Linked DNA regions of Schizosaccharomyces pombe. The protein of the gene in region 3 purifies or fractionates together with the protein of the main gene of each other region. This does not show direct contact. Each region holds a gene or a part of one and is shown on either strand. Other genes may lie near its edges. The genes, in order: prp17, lea1, brr2 and gih35.

Region 1 (5,565 bases), on a different chromosome or scaffold from region 3:
CAAACTAATGTTGCTTCAAACAAGCGTGTTGCTCCGTATGCAGATAGTATGGCAAATGTTGGTTCTCCAGAATCTGATTGCTTTTCAGTAGCAACATCTTCCGATATTCCTAAAGCCAACATCGATTTTACCAATGATATTTCTACTCAGAACACTTTTCCAGCTTCTCCGGTCTCAAATTCAGGTTTCAGTAGACAAACGTATCCAAATATAAGCCAAAGACAAGGCGTTAATATGCTTTCTCATAAGCGGAAAAGTGCTAGTACCAGTGACAGGCGATTTGTCAATGCATCTTCAACAAGTGGGATGAACATGCCTATTTCTTCTTCAATATCTGCAAAAATTTCCAGTATACAGAATTCTACAAAATACTCACCCAGGAAGCCCATTCCAGCAAAAGATGTGCGGGTTAGCTCTTTAGTGCGTAGATTTGAAGAGCTAAGTTTACAATTACAAGAAAAGCAAAAACGAGATGAAGAATTAATAAAGGCTCGACGCAAGCGGGCTCTTCCTGTAGTCCCATCTAAGCCGGTAGTAGAAGTATTTAATGACCTTAATGAAGCATTTGATGATGAAAATTCCGAAGATGAGAATGGCATTAATGACACAAAAGAAAATCGCGCTACCGAAAGCAATTTTTCTGGAGTTGATTCTATGAGCAAGGAGCGAGAAAATGTTTCTTCGAATGAAGACAATTCACCTGAAGCGTTTGAAGATATTTTTGGAATTCTTTTCAAAAATGAATCTGGCCTCGAAGAACAGCAAAACCTTGAACCTTCTAGTCAAATGGATAAAGAGGGATCAAAGTTGCCAACTTCTGGTCCTTTGGCTGACAAAACTTCAGTTTACAGGATTTTATCTGCATTTTGGAATGAATGGAACTCCCTCAATCCTCCACCTTTTGAATTTCCTCTACAACCTACAGAGCATATGTTTTCCGACTCAAATGTGATCATAAGGGAAGACGAACCTAGCTCCTTGATAAGTTTTACTCTTAGCTCTCCTGACTATTTATCAAAAATGGTAGAAATTGAAGATAGCATGGACGAAGCTTTAACCAATCAAGGCTTACAAGGCTCGACGCAATTCAAAATTGAAAACTTAATGCTCAAACCAACGGGGACGCATTTGAAATACCAGTTTGAAGAAGGATCAGCAAGACTATCCTGTAAGGTCTTTTTCGCGGAACAATTTAGTGCTTTGCGAAGAGCTTGTGGCTGTGAGGAGACGTTTGTGACATCTCTAGCGAGATGTTCTCTTTGGGAATCTAGCGGTGGAAAATCTGGATCAGCATTTTTAAAAACTTTCGATAAGAAATACATTCTCAAAGTTCTGTCAAGGTTGGAAAGTGACTCCTTGCTTAATTTTGCTCCAGCTTATTTTGATTACATATCTAAAGTTTTCTTTCACGAGTTGCCAACTGCATTGACTAAAATCTTTGGATTTTACCGCGTAGACATTCGAAATCCTACTACTGGTACAATCTGTAAGACTGATATAATGATTATGGAAAATGTATTTTATGATGAATGTCCGTCTAGAATATTTGATCTTAAAGGTTCCATGAGGAATCGACATGTAGAATCTACAGGGAAGGTAGATGAAGTATTGCTTGATGAAAATTTGGTTGAACTTATTTACGAATCTCCAATATTTGTTAGTGAACAACTAAAAAGTCTTTTGCATTCTTGCCTTTGGAATGATACATTGTTCCTCTCAAAACTCAATATCATGGATTACTCTTTAATTGTTGGTATTGATTATACAAAAAAAGAACTTTATGTTGGAATAATTGATTTCATACGAACATACACTTGGGACAAAAAACTTGAAAGTTGGGTAAAGGAGAAAGGCTTAGTTGGTAGAGGTCCTGAACCAACAATTGTTACTCCAAAGCAATACAAAAATAGATTCCGAAAGGCTATGGATTGCTATATTTTAGCATCTCAGGATTTTGAGACTGGGGAAGGTTTTAAGTTTTGCGAATAGAAGAAACGTTAGTTTAATGTATATATTTCGCTGTTTGGTCAAGAAATATGAACAATCTTTTTAATCCCAGTATTTGATAGACCCATCAACTATAGATGATGTAGCTACCTTGCTTGTTTCTTGAGGGTGGAACGCCATGCTTTGTACGGGTCCACTATGAGCCGGGAGTTTAGCCATTAGCTTACAGGTTTTCCAATCTAAAAATGTTAGGTGTTTTTCCAATTCCAAGCACTTACCCCAGAAACAGGCATTTCCGCTCGAATCTCCGCTAAAAACAAATCTCCCTAAAACTAGTTAGAAATTCGTAATAAAAAATGAACGCCATACCATCAGGTGAAAATCCAACTTCTAGGCTATAACCTGAACAACTGTATCCCTTAAAGACCTTCTTTTTGTTTTGTCTATATTTCTCGTATGCCGAATATACGTAAATGCAGTTATCTAGAGATTGACATGCTATCGACTTTCCATTTGGCCGTAAGGCAACCCGAGGCATTGAATGCATTGCAATGTCAGCCACAAATTTTATAGGAACTGGAGTTCCGTATTCCCAAAATCGCATTGAAGAGTCATCAGATGTGGTAACGAAGCGCTTTCCGTTTTCAAGGAATGTTATGGAATTGATTCCGCCGAGATGATGATCGTATGCTTGAACAATATCAGGACTTCTGATATCAAATTGAAGGATCCTTTTGTCAGCTGTTCCTGCTAAAAACTCGTTGGGTTTATCAGGATCTACTTGGAATTTGACGCAGTTTGTTAATCTATCTGAATTAAAGCAGTTCAAACATTTCCCTAATTCGGTATCCCAGAGTTTAATTGTTTTATCAAAACTAGTACTTAAGAATGATCGTCCATCTTGGCTAAATGATAAATCGCGGATAGGACGAGCGTGTCCTTGGAATGTACGAAGCAAAGAACGGTCATGGTAAACTTCCCAAATCTAAATATTAGTTTATCATCTTTTTGCTTACAAACATACCTTTATCTGATTATCCATTGAGCCAGAAAGAAGTAAATGGCCACTAATCGGAAAAAACCTAAGGCAGGAAATACCTTTCGTATGACCTTTCCAAGTGAATATATGCTTCTTTGGAATGTAACAAGTTTGTTCACCAGGCTCTTCCGATAAATTTATTCCGACGTCATTCGGGACATGCATATAGCTTCTATTTTGATAATCAAATAATCTATCTTTATGAAGTATAGTCTCTTCTTTAGAGCGATGAGTTTCAACTTCTGGAGTAGCTAATTGTTCCTTCAATAATTCATTTTGACCCAGGTTATTAGATTCCGTATCCTTTTCACTTTTGACATCCAGGGATTCAACCTCTTCATATTCACTGTACTCCAAAGGTGAAGAGGATTGTTCAGAACCGTATCCGGCCCATGGCCCCTTATAAGCACCATCCCCTTCAAGGATAGATGGATCGCCAGGATCCTCTCTACGTTCTTTTATTTTCTGGGACTTCCTTTTTAAATCTGTAGAAGTAGTAGCTTCGTTATCATCAAAATTTCGTTTTCCATAAATAGCATGTGTATTAGCATAATATTCTTGATTAAATACAAAATTTGGAACATATTCCCTCTCAGCATAACCGGTAATACTGTTCTTTATAGAATCCTGTTCTTTAGTGACAAATGGATTTGCAGGCCCTAAAGCAGGCTGCACCATTTCATTAACCGGGACATTACGCGCTAATTCTCTAGAGTTTCCTCCCTTTGAAACAATTAAATCATCCTTTACCTAAAATGATTAGCATGTTATAAAAAACATTTGATAAATACGTTATCAACCACAGCTGGCGCTAAATTTTCAGTATGCAGAAGAGGTTGGATGTTAGGCGATTGGGAATTCTCCTGTTCTTCTGAATCACTAGAATAGTTTGCAACCAACATAGAAATTGCAAACGGCGAATATGAAACCAGCAAATTCGTATGGTAATGGTTTAAGGAAGATTAAGCTGTAGGGAGGTTTAGCGAGGATGAGAGATTCCTGGCTAATATCAATTAGCGAAAATGAAACACTACAGCTAACTCATACTTCTGCTTATTAGGATAGGTAATAGATAATTCATTGATTAAAAAATAAAGGAATGTAGTAAAAACTAGAAATAAAGTTAGTTATTTAAAGAGGCATGGACTTTTTTAAACTGTAAAAGAAGTTATCCAGTAGTGCATATACACGACGTATGATAAATAGTATTTAATTGAAGTTTGTTTGCTCACATAAGCTCATGACTTTAAAAATTTCATTTTGGTACGATAGTTTACCCCTTTAGTAAATTCATTTTCTAGTGTACTCACAGTATTTTTTGTGTTTGCAAGGCTAGGACAGAGAACCTGTGTAAGTCTAATTTTTTGAAATTATAAATTTTTTAAGAGTTTTTGTTGATTAAACTTTTTCTTGAAGAAAGCTTTGAAAAGCAAGCTTTGTCAATTCAAATTCAAGAATTGGTTTAGTAGATTTAGCTTCTAATTTAACGAAGGGCTTTTGGACATCATAAAGGGTTACTTTGTTACTTTCAATTGTACTAAAATTAAAAGCGACGCACCTATGCATCCTCAGTTGTGAAAACAGCATTCTGGTTTCTGAATTTTTTCAATAAAAAGAATTTTATGTTGAAAAAATGTGGATAATTGAGGCTGAGGGTGACATTCTAAAAGGTATCTCTTACTAGCTATATCAATTTCATTATGGCCGTATTGTACGTACTAAACAGCAGGAAAATCACGGATACTATTTCCAGGAACTTATATTGTAGGTCGAAATGTATCTGGTAAGTTTCTTATTTTTGTTAATTTTCTAATATTGCAGACGATTCGTCCCACATTCAAGTGATTTCTAAATCAATTAGTAAACGCCATGCTCGTTTTACGATTTTGACCCCAAGTGAGAAAGACTACGTACGTATCCAATTAAATGGAAATATTGAGCTTTTCATTTTTCATTTCTATTATATGTTTATCTTTCTTATATTTTAAATCAATGCCAGCTAATATGTGCACAGTTTACCGGTGGCCCATGCGAGTTTGAAGTAAAGGACCTCGATACGAAGTTTGGAACCAAGGTTAATGAAAAAGTTGTTGGTCAAAATGGTGATTCTTACAAAGAAAAAGATCTTAAAATACAACTGGGTAAATGTCCATTCACGATAAAGTAAGTTTTATCGACTATATATGATTTACTAACTTTAAGTGCATACTGGAGAAGTATGTGTATACAATTCGATAACCCTGAAATGTTATCCCAGTGGGCTTCAAATTTAAACCTCTTAGGTACTTCGGTCTTTTTTTTTTTCACTTCTTATCAACTTTCAGGTATACCGACTGGACTACGCGATAGCGATGCTACTACCCACTTTGTTATGAACAGACAAGCTGGGTCCAGTATAACTGTTGGAACTATGTATGCTTTTCTTAAAAAAACTGTAATTATAGATGATAGCTATCTTCAGTACCTATCAACTGTTAAAGAATCCGTAATTGAAGACGCCAGCCTAATGCCAGATGCGCTTGAATGTTTTAAAAATATCATAAAGAACAACGATCAATTCCCGTCATCTCCTGAAGACT
Region 2 (3,233 bases), on a different chromosome or scaffold from region 3:
TTTAAAATCTTGACCTGTGCCTTTCGAATATTGCTCATATTAATTAAAGGACGAGGAGGAGGCGCTTCTACTCCTTTGTGAGAATCAGGTGCGGAAGATACGCGTCTAAGGCTGGGACGACTATCCAATTGATCGCTACTATCATTCAGATCTAATTCATTCAATTGATTAACATTAATATCAAAGGTTGAGTCATCAGAATCATTATCCCTCTGATCATTTCGGACACTAGTAGAAACGGTTGCCGCTCGATTCCTACGAAAGTGAAACAAATTTTTCAGTTTATCTGAAAAGTGCGACTGGCTCATACCATCATCGGTGGAAGAGGGACTTTTGTCATTAAATTCAGTTTCTCGAGCCATTCTAAGTCATCCATTAATCTCGTAGCGCTTCAAACATTCACCGGTTAATAAATTTCGCTGACGGCTCACTTATAATACCTAATATAAATCAGAATGTAAGCAAACTTGAAAAACGACTTCAAAGCTCCCAAATAGTCTAATATAACTAGCCGAATGGTATTCCTCCTGCTTATATTAATTCTTGTTTCATTTGGAGGTGTCGGCAAAAGAATAGTTAGTGGAGCCACGGCCATCCTTATGTTATATAATCCTCTTTTTAAGCATATAGAAATAAACAGTCATATTGTAGCATTAACTAACAAGCAGCTTCAAAATACTTAGTTGAAGCTATTGTAAATAAAAGAAAAAACTTGTTTTTGGTTTTTATGTGTGGGTATTGATCTGTAGTTTTGTAGTAAATTCAGTTTGAATAATTCTTACTGGAACAGAATAAGTGTTAGAATAAATGCAGTGATTTTTAATTTCATATTCTCAAGAGTGACTGTATGATTTATAAGTACACGAGCTATGGAAGCACAACATTTAATCATGTATTTCTTCCACTTTCAACTACAAAAGAGGCTACTCTAAACCCAAACATTATCCGAAATGTCGATGTACATTTGTCGATATCGCTGGCATTTTCAATTAGTCCGACTCATGTGGTATTAGTATGAGGATGGATAGTTGATTCGATATTAGAAGCTGTCATATCAATTTAAATATAATTTCTTAGCAGTGCTTTCATTGAGATAGAGCAATACGATAGAAACAATCTGAAGAATTCATTAAAACTGTTACATTAAAAAACGACTTGATGTCAATATTGTTTTTGGAATGTTTTTCATTAAATGAGAAAACAAAAAGATATAGCAGTTTAGTAAGTATCTCAATGCAATTTTTTAATAGGAAAACAGGTTCCTTAAGCAACTCTGAATAATTGTAAATAACCTGGTTTCAAACTTTCGTTGGCGGTTTGTGCTCACGAAGTCAAATAGGGAGGCAGTATGAACATTATAGATGAGTTGAACTAAAACTTTGAGTGGAAAACAATGTGTGTTTCATCCAAATAGTCGATTGCTTGTGTTTGTTTTTGAGAGCTCAACAGATAAAAGAGTGTGTACCAATTTCTGACAAACTTAAGATATATATTTGACAACAATGAAAAAATGTTTTATTTAAAGGTGTCAAAACACACATATACAAAAATCATTTATTCTCTGTTTTCCCAAGAATTTTCTAGTACGAAAGCCGATTCTTGAACATGGAAGTCGTCAGTCAATTATCAAAGTATAATTACGCATAATTTGTTTTTTTTAAATCTAAAAAGTAGAAAAAGTGAGTATTTTTTGCTTATTGAGTCAAGATTTCTTTGTATTTATTTATGTGCTTACTATCCAAACTCTACCACTTTGCTTCTTCTCTTGACGTGTCATATTCTTGGTTTTTACATAATTAACTTTACATTATTAGATTCTAAAACGTTAACTATAACATTTTTTGAATAAACAATAGTGAAATTTAGGATTGTGAGCGTTTTGGATAATTTTTTAGGAATTTTAAATCATACTGCAGTAACAGCATAAAAAAGGCATTTTCATTACAAAAATTTCATGCGTCTTAATGCTGAATTTTTGTCTCAGGTACCCTCATTCATCAGTCCTTTGAAAGAAACTGAGCTTGATTTAAGATATGTTTAAAGAAATTACTGTATGCTACGTGTCATCCAGCTAACTCATAATTACAGGGTATCAGATTCCAATAATTGAAAATTTAGGAGTGTTAAGGGACGTACACGATGCAATTGATTTCACAGACAATGACATTCGATATTTAGGGAATTTCCCTCGTATGAAAAGGCTTCAAACGCTTTTGTGTGGAAATAACCGAATAACTGCTATAGCCCCAGACATAGGTAAAGTTCTTCCGAATTTAAAGACTTTATCCCTAGCACAAAATCATCTTCAAGAAATAGCAGATTTAGATCCGTTGGCTAGTTGTCCTCAACTCACTAATTTGTCGTGCATTGACAATCCAGTTGCTCAAAAACAATATTATAGATTATATCTTATATGGAGAATTCCTTCGTTACATATTTTAGATTTCGAACGGGTTAGAAGAAATGAAAGGCTTCGTGCTGAAGAAGTGTTTGGTCAAATTCAAAACCCTACAGAAATAGCTTCCTCTATTATGGGTGTGAAAAGTCGAGTATTTGATTTGGCTGCATTGGTACAAAGCCACCCAGAAGCGAATTCTCCTATTACAACTGGATATACACTTACACCTGAGGAAAGAGAAAAGATCAAAGAAGCCATTAAAAATGCCTCTTCCATTGCTGAGATAAATCGACTGGAAGCTATGCTATTAGAGGGGAAAATTCCAAAATAAAGTAACTCACAAGATTTCTAGAAACCGCATAGTTATATAATACATTTTTTCCATCTCATTTCTTGCATTCGATAGGTAACGCGTTTAATAGTTATTTAAGGCATCAAATCGTTAATCGTAAACAAAAACCGTCAATTCTTTAATGCTGTAGCAATTTAGCAATCCTTTCGTTCCTCGTGAGTAATCAGAATTATGCTGTATTCATTAGCTTTAAATAGTAATGATAATCTTACCTTCCAAATATTCCGCAGTGACCAATAATTCTAAAACCATCTCAGGTGGGATATCGAACTTTGGAATATCTAATTGATTTTTATATCTGTAATTGTAATGCAAATATTCACAAACTTTTTCCAACAGTGTTGCCCTAGACACCTTATTAGAATTGAATGAATAGACCAATTGCATACCGTATATCAGGAAATGTGCATTCATTTTTTTGCGCCTCAGAAAATATTCCTATACATTAGAATTACTTTACTAAATATCATTATCAAACCTTCG
Region 3 (7,928 bases):
TCGATTAAAGCGTCGTCGAAATAGGGTATCTGTTTTAAAGGACTATCACGATCCCATAAAGCTTGCGTAACCATTTGCGACATCTCCATTGGTCTAATACAAGCTATTAAATGGCCTTCGGAAGACAATGTATCAACACAAGCGCCCAGAAGATTATGTACCCTAGTCAAAATGAATTTCTGATCTATAACTAAACCAGGAGGCAATTCAAATCTAGAAAAATGAGCTGCAAGAAGAATAAATGATTTCGTATGAGGATCTTCATAGTTAGGATTACTTAAGCGAACAGGCAGGCGGGAATGAATTCGCTCCAGCACAATATCTTCATACTTTCGAATTGGGAGTTGCTCATATTCTGCTGCTGATGTAACAATTTCTAGTAATCCCTTCATCTTCGTGCGCTCTGACAAGCTCAAAGCAAACGTTTGCATAGTAATGTATGTAATTCCGTAATGAGAAGCTATCATTGCTAAATTTAATGCGACACAACTATCATCCTCATCGTCTACAGTGATTAAGCGTGCCTCACTCAAATCATTCATGGTTGTTTCTACAAGATCCGAAAGGAATTCAGAAACCGACTCATGAGTGATATCTTGAAGACCATAATAGGCAGGATTGGCAACTAGTCTCCGGTACATATACGACCATGTAAGCCAATCTACAGCATCTTGTTTGCTTTCAATGGTTTGCGTAGATATTTCTGACACGAAAGCATCGTGCAGCCAAACTTGAAGATGGCTTTCCATGGGTAATGGCTCATTTAAAAATTTCTTGTAATATTCCTTCTTAGTAGTGACAGTCATAAGAATAACCTGGCTAAGCTCACTTGATCCAATGCTAGCAGTAAACCCGAGCATTTGTAATAACTCACTTATAGGATAATCAATATAACGATGTTCTTTGCCATCATAGTATTGAGTACCCATCACAATAACAGCGTTTGATTTTGCTTTTAAGGAATAAATAACATCGCGAGAAGCTATCAAAACCTTGATAAGTCCATGACGGTAAAGATATTGTACAATATTCTGATCATTGGACGATGTGATTTCACTAATATAAGCAATACCATGCTTCAATGATTGCTGCAAGGCAGCATCTTCAACTTTATTGAAAGCTTCATTCTCCATTAACGAAAACAAATACTCATCTTCATCAGCCATACTGAATGTAACTAAATCAAAAGCTAATTGTTTCGCTACTTTCCTGTCAGGAGTAAATACAATAGTAGACTTTCTCTGAGAAATAAAGTTCTTCAAGCTGCGATATATAGGCTTGCTCATAGCCAACATAAGGGAAGGGAAATGAGTAATACTGAATGATTGCAAATGAATAGTAAGAGGATTAGGCCTGTCTTTAGGACTAAAATTAAATATGCATTGTGGACTAGTCCCAAGCCACTCACCCAAATCTCGAGCATTAGCAACAGATACTGAAAGGCCAACCACTCGGATATTTTTTTCTAATTGTACTGCCATGTACCGTATCCGTGAGATCACTATTTCGTATAATGGACCATAAAATCCACCAAGCAATTGTAATTCATCACATATATAAAAATCAACTTTCTGAATGCTTCGCATACTTCTCCATCTCTTCGACAATGAGTCCCATTGCGATGGCGTGCAAAATATCAAGTCAGCAACTTGTATCAGCTTCAAGTCTTGTGAACGCTCACCCGTCAATTTTACCAAAACTTTCCCATCACCGAGGTCAGAAAACTTGCCATACCATTCTTCATATCGACGATCAACGATTTCCTGAATTGGGGCAATGTAAACTGCAGTACCATAATCTTCTTGACTCCAATGATGTAACAAAGCAAGTTCGGCACAAACAGTCTTTCCACTTCCATTGGGAGCACCAATAAAAACACTATCGTTGGTTTTATAAACAGAGTTAAACACCTGTGTTTGAATCTTGTTAAAAAATTTAAAATTAGGGTAGAGGGAAATGAAGCTTGGGTTATTAAGACTAGAGACCGGGGCGTTCTGAAGATCAAGAAGAGGTGTTGGCGCAGGAAATTTTTCTGGCATTATCAGGCGCTGAAATGAAAGAGGTACCTTAGTTATCGAGTGTAACCATCGATCTGAAACTATCTTTATAAAGTAACAAGGAGGAAGAGGTTCTAACAAAGGTACTGTAAAATTTACAATATGCTCATCATCTTTGTATTTTTTAAGAAGGAAAAATTGTTCATAATGTAGCAATCGGTCCCCGTCCACGTCTTCTACAAGGATCCAAAAAGCTTCAGAAGTGCCGCTTAAATGATCATCCCAGTTGAACTGAGAATTTATAACAAGTTCGACCCGCACAAGCGATCTTGTGATAGGTTGAACATGTGCTTCGACGCTCAACCTTGGAAAAGACTGAACCATGTTGTACACACGCCTCCCTTCTTTTGGCACCCCTACTAATTCTCCTAATTCAGCAGGGTCCAGATCAAAGTATCGCTGCCAAGGAAATTCCTTTTTCTCAACGCGGCGTATTACTTCAGAAGGACAATTGGGAAACTGTCGAAGGGGGCTCATAGTTGGCCAAAGCCTTTTCTCAATCATTTTGCATGTATCAAGAGAGAGTGTTGCAACAGATGACCAACCACGTCTCAATGATATCTCGAATATTGCACGCATAATTCTACCCGCTGATTGCGTAACGTATACCATGTCTGCCACAAGTGCAAATCCATCCAGGCGTTGTCTTGATATATATGATTGGAGAAGGGCATTAATCTTGGCAGCAGGTTCATCTAATCTTTCCCTAATAGGAATTGGTACTCTTTCCAGCAACTTCGCGAGTTCAACTTTCTCTTCTTCACGGACAGGAATGTGCTTAAATTCATCAGAAAAACTGAAGACTCGAAATAACTCGATAAAGGATGTTGTCTGCATTAAAAGACGATTATATATGGCCATCGAGTTATGAGTAACGTAATAACTTGCAGCAACTTTTCCCAATTCCGTAGCGGTCAACGTACCACTCTGACGATTATACACTAGTAACTTGCATTTTTCTAATAAAATGGCAGCTGAATGAAGTAAGTCAGCTCTTTTTTGAACAAGATATTTGTCATCATCATACTCTGGGCCGACGCTATATAGGGCAGGGGATCGTAACATTCGAACATAGAGGTATGTATAACCAAGCCAGTCTACGCCATCTTCGATACTACGAACAGTTCCTAACGATACTTCGGCATTTAAACAATCAGCTAGACGGCGCATAAATTGAGACTCAATTGGAAGCTGCTGATTCATTAGTGATAGATAATACTGTAACTCAGAGTGGGCGGTAATGATAATTCCTTCACCATATGTGTCGAATTGTGGGCGACCAGCTCTGCCAAGCATTTGCAAAACATCCTGAGGAGAGAGTTCTGTCCAGATACCCTTTTCAGGAGAATAAACTTGGGTCCCTTTGATGATCACTGTGTGCGCTGGTAAGTTTACGCCCCAAGCCAGAGTTGCCGTACTCACTAGTACCTGTATAGTACCATCGGCAAAAAGGTCTTCAGACGTTTGGCGATCCTCTCGTCGCATACCAGCATGATGTATGGCAAACCCATATGGGAGCAAATCTTTCAAATTTTCATCACTGGTAGAGTCGGCTTCAGCCCGAAGAATTTCACGGGATGCGGCATCAGAGCGTAACAAATGACCGATGGTCTCTTCCTCTAGTGCCTTATCTCTTATAAAACGAGCGGTTTTAGCGGTTTCTTTGCGCGAATGTACAAATATGAGGACCTGGTTTTTGCCAGCGTGTTGCATAACTTTTTCATAACAAGCTTCATTAGTCGTCTGCATTCGTTTAAACGGTGTTTTTTCTGTAATGCCTATAAATTCTTGCTTTAAAGGGCATGGACGATATGTCGAATCGAAGTAAAAAAGCCCTTTTTTAGGGTCGACATGTAAAAAACTGGCAACATCGGTATAATTAGGAAGTGTAGCAGACAAACCTACTAATCGAACTTGTTCAAGAGTTTCCTCCTGATGGCGAAATATACGAGCAACTATAGATTCTAATACAGGACCTCGTTCATCATGAAGCAAATGAACCTCATCAATAATAACTAAACGGACTAGATTGACATAAGATAAATCATTAGCTTTTCGAGTTATAATATCCCACTTCTCGGGTGTGGTTACAATTATTTGAGTTTCACTAATTTGTTGTTTAGTCAATTGACTATCACCAGTTAACTCTGCGACTCGAATATTGTATGGAGTAAGCCTCTTTGAGAAATTATTAACCATCTCTTGTACCAACGCCTTCAAGGGAGCAATGTAAACAATTTTAAAATTTTGTAAGTTAAAGCTAAGATCTTCACGTAAATGTTTTTGTAATTCGTTAAGGATACATAGCATTGCTACATTTGTTTTTCCAGCACCAGTAGGAGCGCATAAAAGGATGTTTTCGTCAGTACCAAAAGCGATAGGATAAAGATGGCTTTGGATTCGGTTTAAAGATTGAGTATTAAGAAAAGCTTGATGAGACCATTCAGGCAGTTCCTTGATTTTTACAAGACGCTCGTCAGCGCCAAGTACGGCTTTGTTGGGGGCAGGAACATGTATTTCTTCATACCCTTTACCAGTCCTACGAAACGAGCCTTCAGGTAGCTTGACAGCTTTATTAGACATGAGACGTGATCCCTCAGTAAACACATAATTTTCTAGATCAACTTGGTGCTTAGGTACAATTTTATGGGAAGTCAAAGTTTTCGAAAGTGGAATTTCAGAAACGGGCGCAGGTTCAGCTTTCTCAACAACATTATTATTTAATTCATTTAAACCGTCATCAGGTATAGTGATAGCACCAGGGCGTAGAGCTTCGAGAATCCAAGACCGACCAGCAGCACGAATTTGCTCTTCCACACCTAAGCGTTCTTCATCAGTAGCGGCGCGTTTTAACATTGTACACGAAACTATTGTCCAACGATTCTTAGTCAAAAGTTGAACAAGATAGAAATGTTCATAATCAAAAATACTCATCAATTCATTTTCCAATTCACCGAGATCGTAATCAGCCGAAAGTGCCTCAAACGCTTGATTTGTTTTTTCCTGACAAACGACGGCGTCAGCAAAATATTTTGCTATTTCTCGTTGCAGCCAAAATGCATCGATTTCACGAGGATGAACAGTGGGTATTTCGGTAACTTTTTTGGTATCAGCAGAAATAAATGTAACCTCTGTATCCGGATTTTCAATATTCTTTTTCTCTTCTTCTTGAGATATGGAAGTTTCTAAGACGACGTCTTCATCTTCTGCCACTTCATCCTCTTCCATTGCCTCAACAGCTTCTTCCTCTTCATCGGCTTCATTGAACAATACTGGTACGCCAGATTCATTAACGCCTTCTTCATTTAACTCTTCTTCTTGCTCAACTGTATAATCTGTTAAGCGATTTCCCAAGTTAACGAGCTGTGAAAACCGATCCTGTGGGAGTTCAGTACTCAAAACCTCCTCTATTTGCTTTTTACGACCTTGTTCATCTAAAGAACTATCCTTAAGAAGTTCAATAATCAAATCAGCAGCAGAACGGAGGATTTCAGGAGACTGATCGCCAAGGTATTGTTGAATGAAACTCAAGATATAATCATAAACTTCTCGGGTCTCGTCGGTTAGAGGATTATATTTCAAAATTTCAAAAGAATCAAAATATTTAAGTATCGCTGAAGAGCGCTTTTCGCGTTCAGGTTGCCGTATACCAATTTCTAAGGATTCTGCATCTTTACGAGGTAACCGGACCTCCTGAACTTCCTGCGTCAATTCGAGAGGAAGGGTACTAGGTTTTTCAATTCTCGCTCTAGAACCCATATCTGCAATACTAACTCGATTTACCAGAGATTCCGGTTCGCCTGTAGGTTCAGCATCACGTCGTGACACAAATCTTCGATCAGCCTGCGTAACCAAATTTGACATTGCAGAATAACTATACTGTGATTGACCATAGTTTGGCTTCTCCTTACTATTTCCATGTTTGGGAGGCTCTTTCGAGTCCCCTTTAGGATGTGCACTCGACATGATTGTGAGTGGCGGAGGATAAACTGAATTTTCAATTTTCGTCTACTTCGAGGTATTAGAAGTGTTCATTTCTGTCAGCAATACTACACTACGCTATAATACACTACGTTGAGTATCACTATATGTCACATGTTCTAATTATATATCGTACCATGTATGATACGATATGGAGATTGATCTTAATGATAATCTATTAAGATCAATATTATCTGAATACTATAAATAGAGCTACTGCTGAACCTCGTTCCTCAGTTCAGTTATGAGCTATATTAGTGATAGGTAACATTATAACCCAGTTAATACAATACCTATACTCAGTTGCTACTTATACAACCTGTGTATTGTAATATAATAGATCACAAGGAAAGCTCACCGCAGTTCTACGTATCCTTAAATCAGATACCAAACTGCGTAGCTTACAATAACTGAACTCTTGTGATCTACAATTAACTCCTTTTAGGAAAAAGGAATTATTGAATAAATATATATCATAAATATATATATTTCTCTCCTTCTGGGTTCAAAGGAGAAAGAACTTTGGAAGGACTGTTATCCCTTTTGAAATCTCCCAAAGGGAAACATATACAATGTCCTACGCAAATTATCGTTATATGAAAGCAAGAGCAAAACGATGGAGACCAGAGAATTTGGATGGAATTCAAACATCAGACGAACATTTAATAAACCTTTTTGCAAAAATATTATCGAAGCATGTACCAGAGATAGGGAAATTCGATCCTAATAAGGATGTTGAAAGTTACATTTCAAAACTTGATCAACACTTTACTGAATACCCTTCATTATTCCCAAATGAGCATACTAAAAGACAGTATACATTGAATCACCTAGAAGAATTAGAGCAACAATTCGCTGAACGCATGTTTTCTGAGAATGGAAGTCTTACATGGCAAGAATTACTCAGACAAACAGGGAAAGTACAAGGATCCAACAAAGGTGATCGTTTAACTAAAACATTTGAAGGTTTTAGAAATCAATTGGACAAAGTTCAATTTATAAGGAAACTCATGTCAAAAGCAAATGTTGATGATTTCCATACTCGCTTGTTTATATTATGGATGCTGCCATATTCCTTAAGGAAATTAAAGGAAAGAAATTACTGGAAATCAGAAATCAGTGAAATTTATGACTTTTTAGAGGACAAAAGAACAGCCTCGTATGGTAAAACTCACAAGCGTTTTCAACTGCAAAATAAAAATCTAGGAAAAGAGTCCCTTTCAAAGAAAAATAACACCACTAATAGCAGAAACCTGAGGAAGACAAATGTTTCGAGAATAGAATACTCATCTAACAAATTCCTAAATCATACTAGGAAACGTTACGAAATGGTATTACAAGCTGAACTTCCAGACTTCAAGTGCTCAATACCCTGTCTAATCGATACGGGCGCTCAAGCAAATATTATAACAGAAGAAACTGTTCGAGCACATAAACTGCCTACCAGACCCTGGTCAAAAAGTGTGATATATGGTGGAGTTTATCCAAATAAGATTAATCGCAAAACAATAAAACTTAACATAAGTCTAAATGGAATATCAATCAAAACAGAATTCTTGGTTGTAAAGAAATTTTCGCATCCAGCTGCTATCTCCTTCACAACATTATATGACAATAACATTGAAATATCTAGCAGTAAACACACGCTCTCTCAAATGAACAAAGTTTCAAATATTGTCAAGGAACCTGAGTTACCAGATATCTATAAAGAATTCAAAGACATTACTGCAGAAACCAATACGGAAAAGCTACCAAAGCCAATAAAAGGGTTAGAATTTGAAGTTGAACTAACTCAAGAAAACTACAGATTACCTATCAGAAATTACCCGCTACCACCGGGAAAAATGCAAGCTATGAATGATGAAATTAATCAAGGATTAAAAAGTGGAA
Region 4 (4,682 bases), 660 kb from region 3:
GTTGTTGACAGTCGAGAGAGTAACGCAGAGTCAACATTATTCTCATTAAATAATAAAGGGGATCCCTCTTCTTCTAAATCTTTTTTAAAACCTTCTAAATAGTATTTTGATGAATCAGTTTCACTTAATGTAATATTAAGAGCCTGACATGTTATAAAATGCATCCATTCATCCTTAGAAAACAAGCGATGTTTTGGAGCACCAGATGTAACAGGTGGAGATATTTCTTTTTGTTCTGAATTTGATGTTGTAGCCTTTGAACCAATAAATCTCTTTTTTAAATCAGGTTTTTTAGGTTCAGGTGCAATATTGCTTTCCTTAGGTTCTTTAGAAGAATTTGCCTCCGAATTGGTCTGCTGCAATTTAGCAAGCCTTTTAAGACGAATCTATGGGCCAATATTAGCAATTAGCTGAAATTTTTCTCTTACCTTTTCCAAATCACTCATAATGGGGTGGATTGAGCAAGTTGGTGGAAGTGAGGTCAACATATGTTTTAACTACCAAAACTTACTATGCTAAACCGGTAACATGAAATTGTATTAACATATATTATTTTTCTCGTTTATAGTATTTATCCAGCCAAAAACTTTCTATTTTAGAAATATTCTTCACGAATATTTGAGTTTCTGATTCGACAGCTAAAACGTTAAAATAGTCTTATAACAAATAGGCTTACCTGAAGAATACATGATCCATGGTGTTTTTTTTTCATGAAGTACACTACTAGAGTCTAACCAAACCTGCTTTCCTCCTATTGTTTTGTAAGAGCCGTCATTCTGTAAATGTGCGACGTTACGCACAAAACCATCAAGTAGGCATTTCAAAATTTTGGAACAATCACTGGATGGTAATCTTTGAGCAGTAGGTATAGAAAATTTATTTAAAAAACGAACCAAATGAGTGCGAATGTCAAGGGCTTGGCGCAAAGTTTGATAGTTCAAATAATTTTTCCTGCACCATTGTAAATCTTTTTTGTTACCGACAAAAGATTCAAAAACTAAATGTTAATACACTTTTAAACTTTATTAATGAAGCATACCATTTAATGCGGTAATGATGTCCCCTTCATTTGCAAAAAAAGAAGAATGGGCAACGAAGGCATCATTCTTTGATGAACTTGTGGGATTATAAAATACTTCGCCTGCTGTAAGTATTGAAGCAATTGAAAGAATTTCATGAGTGCAACCAAATTGGTTGGAAGTAAGTAACTAATGATGGGTTAGCGTGTACTTTATTTCCTATATGGGAGTACGTACAGCTTTGGAGATGTTTGCATCCAAGAATGAGTTGGAAATTTGTATGCCAAGTGGGTCTGTCAAATTTCCACTTTCGTCCAAGACACCTAAAAGATAGAGGTCCTTCAAAAAAATTAGTTGTTTGCCGGCTATAATAAAATTCACAAACCTCTAGAGCCGCCATAAGGTGAACTGTGGGAGGACGGACAAAAAAGGGAAACTGAAGTATGTTTTTTAGCCCTAAACCTTTCAAAAATAACACCAACGGTGACATATCGCAATTTAAGATGTCTGCTTCAAATTCTTCTTTCATCAAGCTGTAAGCTTTTTCAGTATATAGACGGAACACCTTTCCCCTCATTGTCCTTCCAGCTCTTCCACTTCTCTGTATAGCACTTGACTTAGATATAGGCACGTTAATCAATTTTGAAGTCCTTGTATACGGGTTGTATATCCGTTGTTTATTAAAACCTGAATCAACGACATAAACTATGCCATCAATAGTAATACTAGTCTCAGCAATATTCGTAGAAAATATAACTTTTCTGAAGTCACCATCATATATGTTAAAAACTCGCATTTGCTCGTCAACAGTAAGACCAGCATGTAAAGGTAAAGGAACTAAAGTTTGACAGTCTTCGGAAGCATGAATTAAGGAATCTTCAATCTTTTTTATACAGTATTCTATTTCTTTTCTTCCCGAAAGAAAAACCAATATATCACCAGGCGGATAGGTTGAATTAATGTTTATAACCGTTTCGATTGCAGAATCAACGTAATTTTCTGTAGGTTTCTGCAAAAATAATGTTTCTACGGGGAATAATTTCCCTTCAATTGACATAGTGCATACTTTATCTTGTCCGAAAAACTGAGACAGTTTATTCGCGTCAACAGAAGCGCTGGAGAGCACAAGTCTAAAATCATTCCTCTTTTCTAAAATCCTTGATTTGTCAGCTATGAATAGAAAATTTAAATACCTTTTCAAAACTCCTAGTAGGAGATCTGTCGACAAAGTTCGTTCATGGACTTCGTCGAGAATGACTATTGAATATCTTTCCAGCAAAGGATCAAAAAATATTTCATTCAAAAGGATTCCATCGGTCATATATTTTATTTTTGTTTTTTCAGAAACGTTATGATCAAATTGAATGCTATATCCACACAAACTTCCAGGAGGAGAGTTCAGTTCCAAAGATACTCGTTCAGAGACGCTCTTTGCTACGAGTCTTCTGGGCTTTCAAATAAGTTAGGAGGATGATAAATAAACAAAGTTGTGACTAACCTGTGTACATCCTATAATACCGTTTTGGGACGCCCATCCAGCTTCGTATAAAAATTGAGGGATTTCTTCAAGATTATTTTTAGTTTAATAAACCATCTAATCAAAATACTTACGAGTTGTTTTACCACATCCTGTGTGGCCTAACACTATAGTAATCTGATTTTGCTCTACTGCATATAACAACTGGTTTCCTAAATGTAACGTCAGCAATGTAAGGGTAAAACAGCTACATACTGTATTTGGTGATTGGTAATAGCTTTTTCTGAATATTTAAGGGTGTATTTGTAAGAGTACTAAGCGATTGGGAAATAAACTCATTAGGCATACTCTTGCGTAGAGAGCATCAAGTAAGTGGAAGCACTTTCATGTTACCACAACTAGATTGAACGTATTGTAATATTTATAAAAAACAGTATTAACAAAATTCAAATAAAAAATTATTATTCAAAATAAATATACTACAATAATTATCACGCAATTTGAGTAAAATCTGGGAAACCTCGTAACATTGGTATCTGTTAAAAGAATGGCTGCATGCACGGCCTAACTTAGCAAAATGTTTTTTAATCTTATTTTTACTAAAACACTTAGTCTTGAGAATTTTCACGATTTCCCATAATCGTAACTTCCAACAACCACTGCTTTCTCCTCCAAACATTGATTAAAGATCCGTTTACTTTTATAACTTCGTTTATCCACCAGCACTTATTACCTGGCTGTCCCCATAGCTTCAAAATTTTACTCAAAAATTCTTCGCTTAATGAGGAGCTCTCGACTGTTGTTATGATATACGACATTAAGCTCATTAATTTTGGCTCCTTTACTCTCTTGGCCCATTTATCGTTGTAGCGAAATCCACAATGCTGTAATGCATCAACTAGCGGTCCATCACTCAGCCCTTTTCGGATTTTTTTTTTGTCTGCACTTTCAAAAACGTCGTTGTTCTTGAAAGTTTGCTCTAATAAGTCGCTCCTGATTTTTTGGTCGACGGGCTTTTTATTTTCAGAAAATAAATAGATATTGCAACATTCTGTTAAGAATAAAACGAGGGTAGTATTCGATATAGGATTAAATGCAATTTTTGAGGGATAAGCATTATTACTTTTTTTAAATAATGGTAGATAGGTGTCCAAAATCCATTTACAAATGGAAGGGTCGATTTTGTGGCATTTGAAACATGATGAGACATCACCTCCCTCATGTTTTAAAAGCAGATGAAACCCATTAGGAAATAGAAGTGCCAACACGGTAGTTGGTAATATTGGAAGTTCAACGCGATCAATGACTATTAGTTTGCCCCGGATGTTGAAATGTATTTTTTCTGGAAAAAACTTTAAATTACTTTCCAGTGTATTGGCTAAAGTGTCAACCGTATTGATTCGATCAATTGGAACTGACATTTTTGTGTTCTATTTTTGTAACGATTATGTTATAAAAGAATGTTCATTTTTTATTTACAAGATATCACCAATGCATACTTGGCTTTTGGTAAAAATGTTAGGTGCAAATTTCTAAAGGATCGCCAATAGCGGAAGCTATCGGAAAGGTCTTACAAAATCTTTTACGCGCAATAGTAAAAACAGGTAGAAAAAGCCATTCGTCGGTTAAGAGAGCTCTTTGGGCATTCTTTGTTACGTGTAAAACTTTTTATTGTATTTTTTTCCATTTCAATACCCAACTGGTATATCCAAAATTCAGTCCACTAAAGTATGTCGGATTCTAATAAAAATGCACTACCATCATAGATCAACAAAATATATATTTAATAGTGACAGAGGTAATATAAATATAAAGATAAATAAGTACACTTATATATGTAACAGTTACTCAAAGCATTACTTTTCTTTCTGCGAATGATTGATAAGCGACAGTCGATTAAACAAAGTTAGGGCAATTCATAAACCGGTTTTATTATATTATATATAAAATTTTTACAAAAATGCTAGCACGAATATATCCCAACCGATCCTATGCATATTCGTACGTCAAGCCTTGGAGAATTTGGTGAATAAACAACCCGAAAGATTCTCCCCGAATTATTGGTGGCAGAGTCGGTTTTCTTAATTAATGCTAATCTCGTACTGATGTTATTAGTCCAAACGAGACCAAGAGATGGTATTTTGGGATTTGGATCTGTGTCATCCCATCCCGAAAACCATTGCGAT

The links.
Region 1: the proteins of brr2 (region 3) and prp17 purify together in Schizosaccharomyces pombe (affinity purification with mass spectrometry; 2 studies listed by BioGRID). This does not show direct contact.
Region 2: the proteins of brr2 (region 3) and lea1 purify together in Schizosaccharomyces pombe (affinity purification with mass spectrometry; 2 studies listed by BioGRID, with this or other methods). This does not show direct contact.
Region 4: the proteins of brr2 (region 3) and gih35 purify together in Schizosaccharomyces pombe (affinity purification with mass spectrometry; 2 studies listed by BioGRID). This does not show direct contact.

The regions. Positions count from the first base shown.
Region 1 is NC_003423.3:2,649,969-2,655,533, reverse strand, and holds the start of prp17 (Prp19 complex WD repeat protein Prp17), read right to left. Parts: upstream 3,941-5,565; 5' UTR 3,889-3,940; coding exon 3,778-3,888; exon of another isoform or gene 3,737-3,777; coding exon 2,972-3,736; exon of another isoform or gene 2,933-2,971; coding exon 2,317-2,932; exon of another isoform or gene 2,274-2,316; coding exon 2,226-2,273; exon of another isoform or gene 2,187-2,225; coding exon 2,050-2,186; 3' UTR 1,990-2,049; coding exon of another isoform or gene 1-1,989. Other genes in the region: 1-phosphatidylinositol-3-phosphate 5-kinase Fab1, read left to right, coding at 1-1,989; Mre11 complex BRCT domain subunit Nbs1, read left to right, coding at 4,620-4,656, 4,716-4,769, 4,808-4,896, 5,001-5,149, 5,189-5,268, 5,311-5,565.
Region 2 is NC_003423.3:4,144,785-4,148,017, reverse strand, and holds lea1 (U2 snRNP-associated protein Lea1), read left to right. Parts: upstream 1-1,747; 5' UTR 1,748-1,954; coding exon 1,955-2,035; intron 2,036-2,096; coding exon 2,097-2,729; 3' UTR 2,730-2,733; downstream 2,734-3,233. Other genes in the region: serine/threonine protein kinase Ppk22, read right to left, coding at 1-362; elc1 (elongin C), read right to left, coding at 2,920-2,924, 2,963-3,096, 3,140-3,188, 3,229-3,233.
Region 3 is NC_003424.3:1,459,237-1,467,164, forward strand, and holds the start of brr2 (U5 snRNP complex subunit Brr2), read right to left. Parts: upstream 6,044-7,928; 5' UTR 6,024-6,043; coding exon 1-6,023. Other genes in the region: Tf2-1 (retrotransposable element/transposon Tf2-type), read left to right, coding at 6,611-7,928. UniProt on the Schizosaccharomyces pombe protein: Involved in pre-mRNA splicing. May be involved in endoplasmic reticulum-associated protein degradation (ERAD) and required for growth at low and high temperatures. Required for pre-spliceosome formation, which is the first step of pre-mRNA splicing.
Region 4 is NC_003424.3:2,124,227-2,128,908, reverse strand, and holds gih35 (ATP-dependent RNA helicase), read right to left. Parts: upstream 2,853-4,682; 5' UTR 2,843-2,852; coding exon 2,752-2,842; intron 2,709-2,751; coding exon 2,631-2,708; intron 2,583-2,630; coding exon 2,518-2,582; intron 2,470-2,517; coding exon 2,213-2,469; intron 2,177-2,212; coding exon 1,405-2,176; exon of another isoform or gene 1,359-1,404; coding exon 1,257-1,358; exon of another isoform or gene 1,209-1,256; coding exon 1,040-1,208; exon of another isoform or gene 998-1,039; coding exon 677-997; exon of another isoform or gene 639-676; coding exon 550-638; downstream 1-549. Other genes in the region: ufd2 (ubiquitin-protein ligase E4), read right to left, coding at 1-386, 429-446; whi2 (phosphatase activator), read right to left, coding at 3,105-3,917; rad57 (DNA recombination mediator, RecA family ATPase Rad57/Rhp57), read right to left, coding at 4,460-4,682.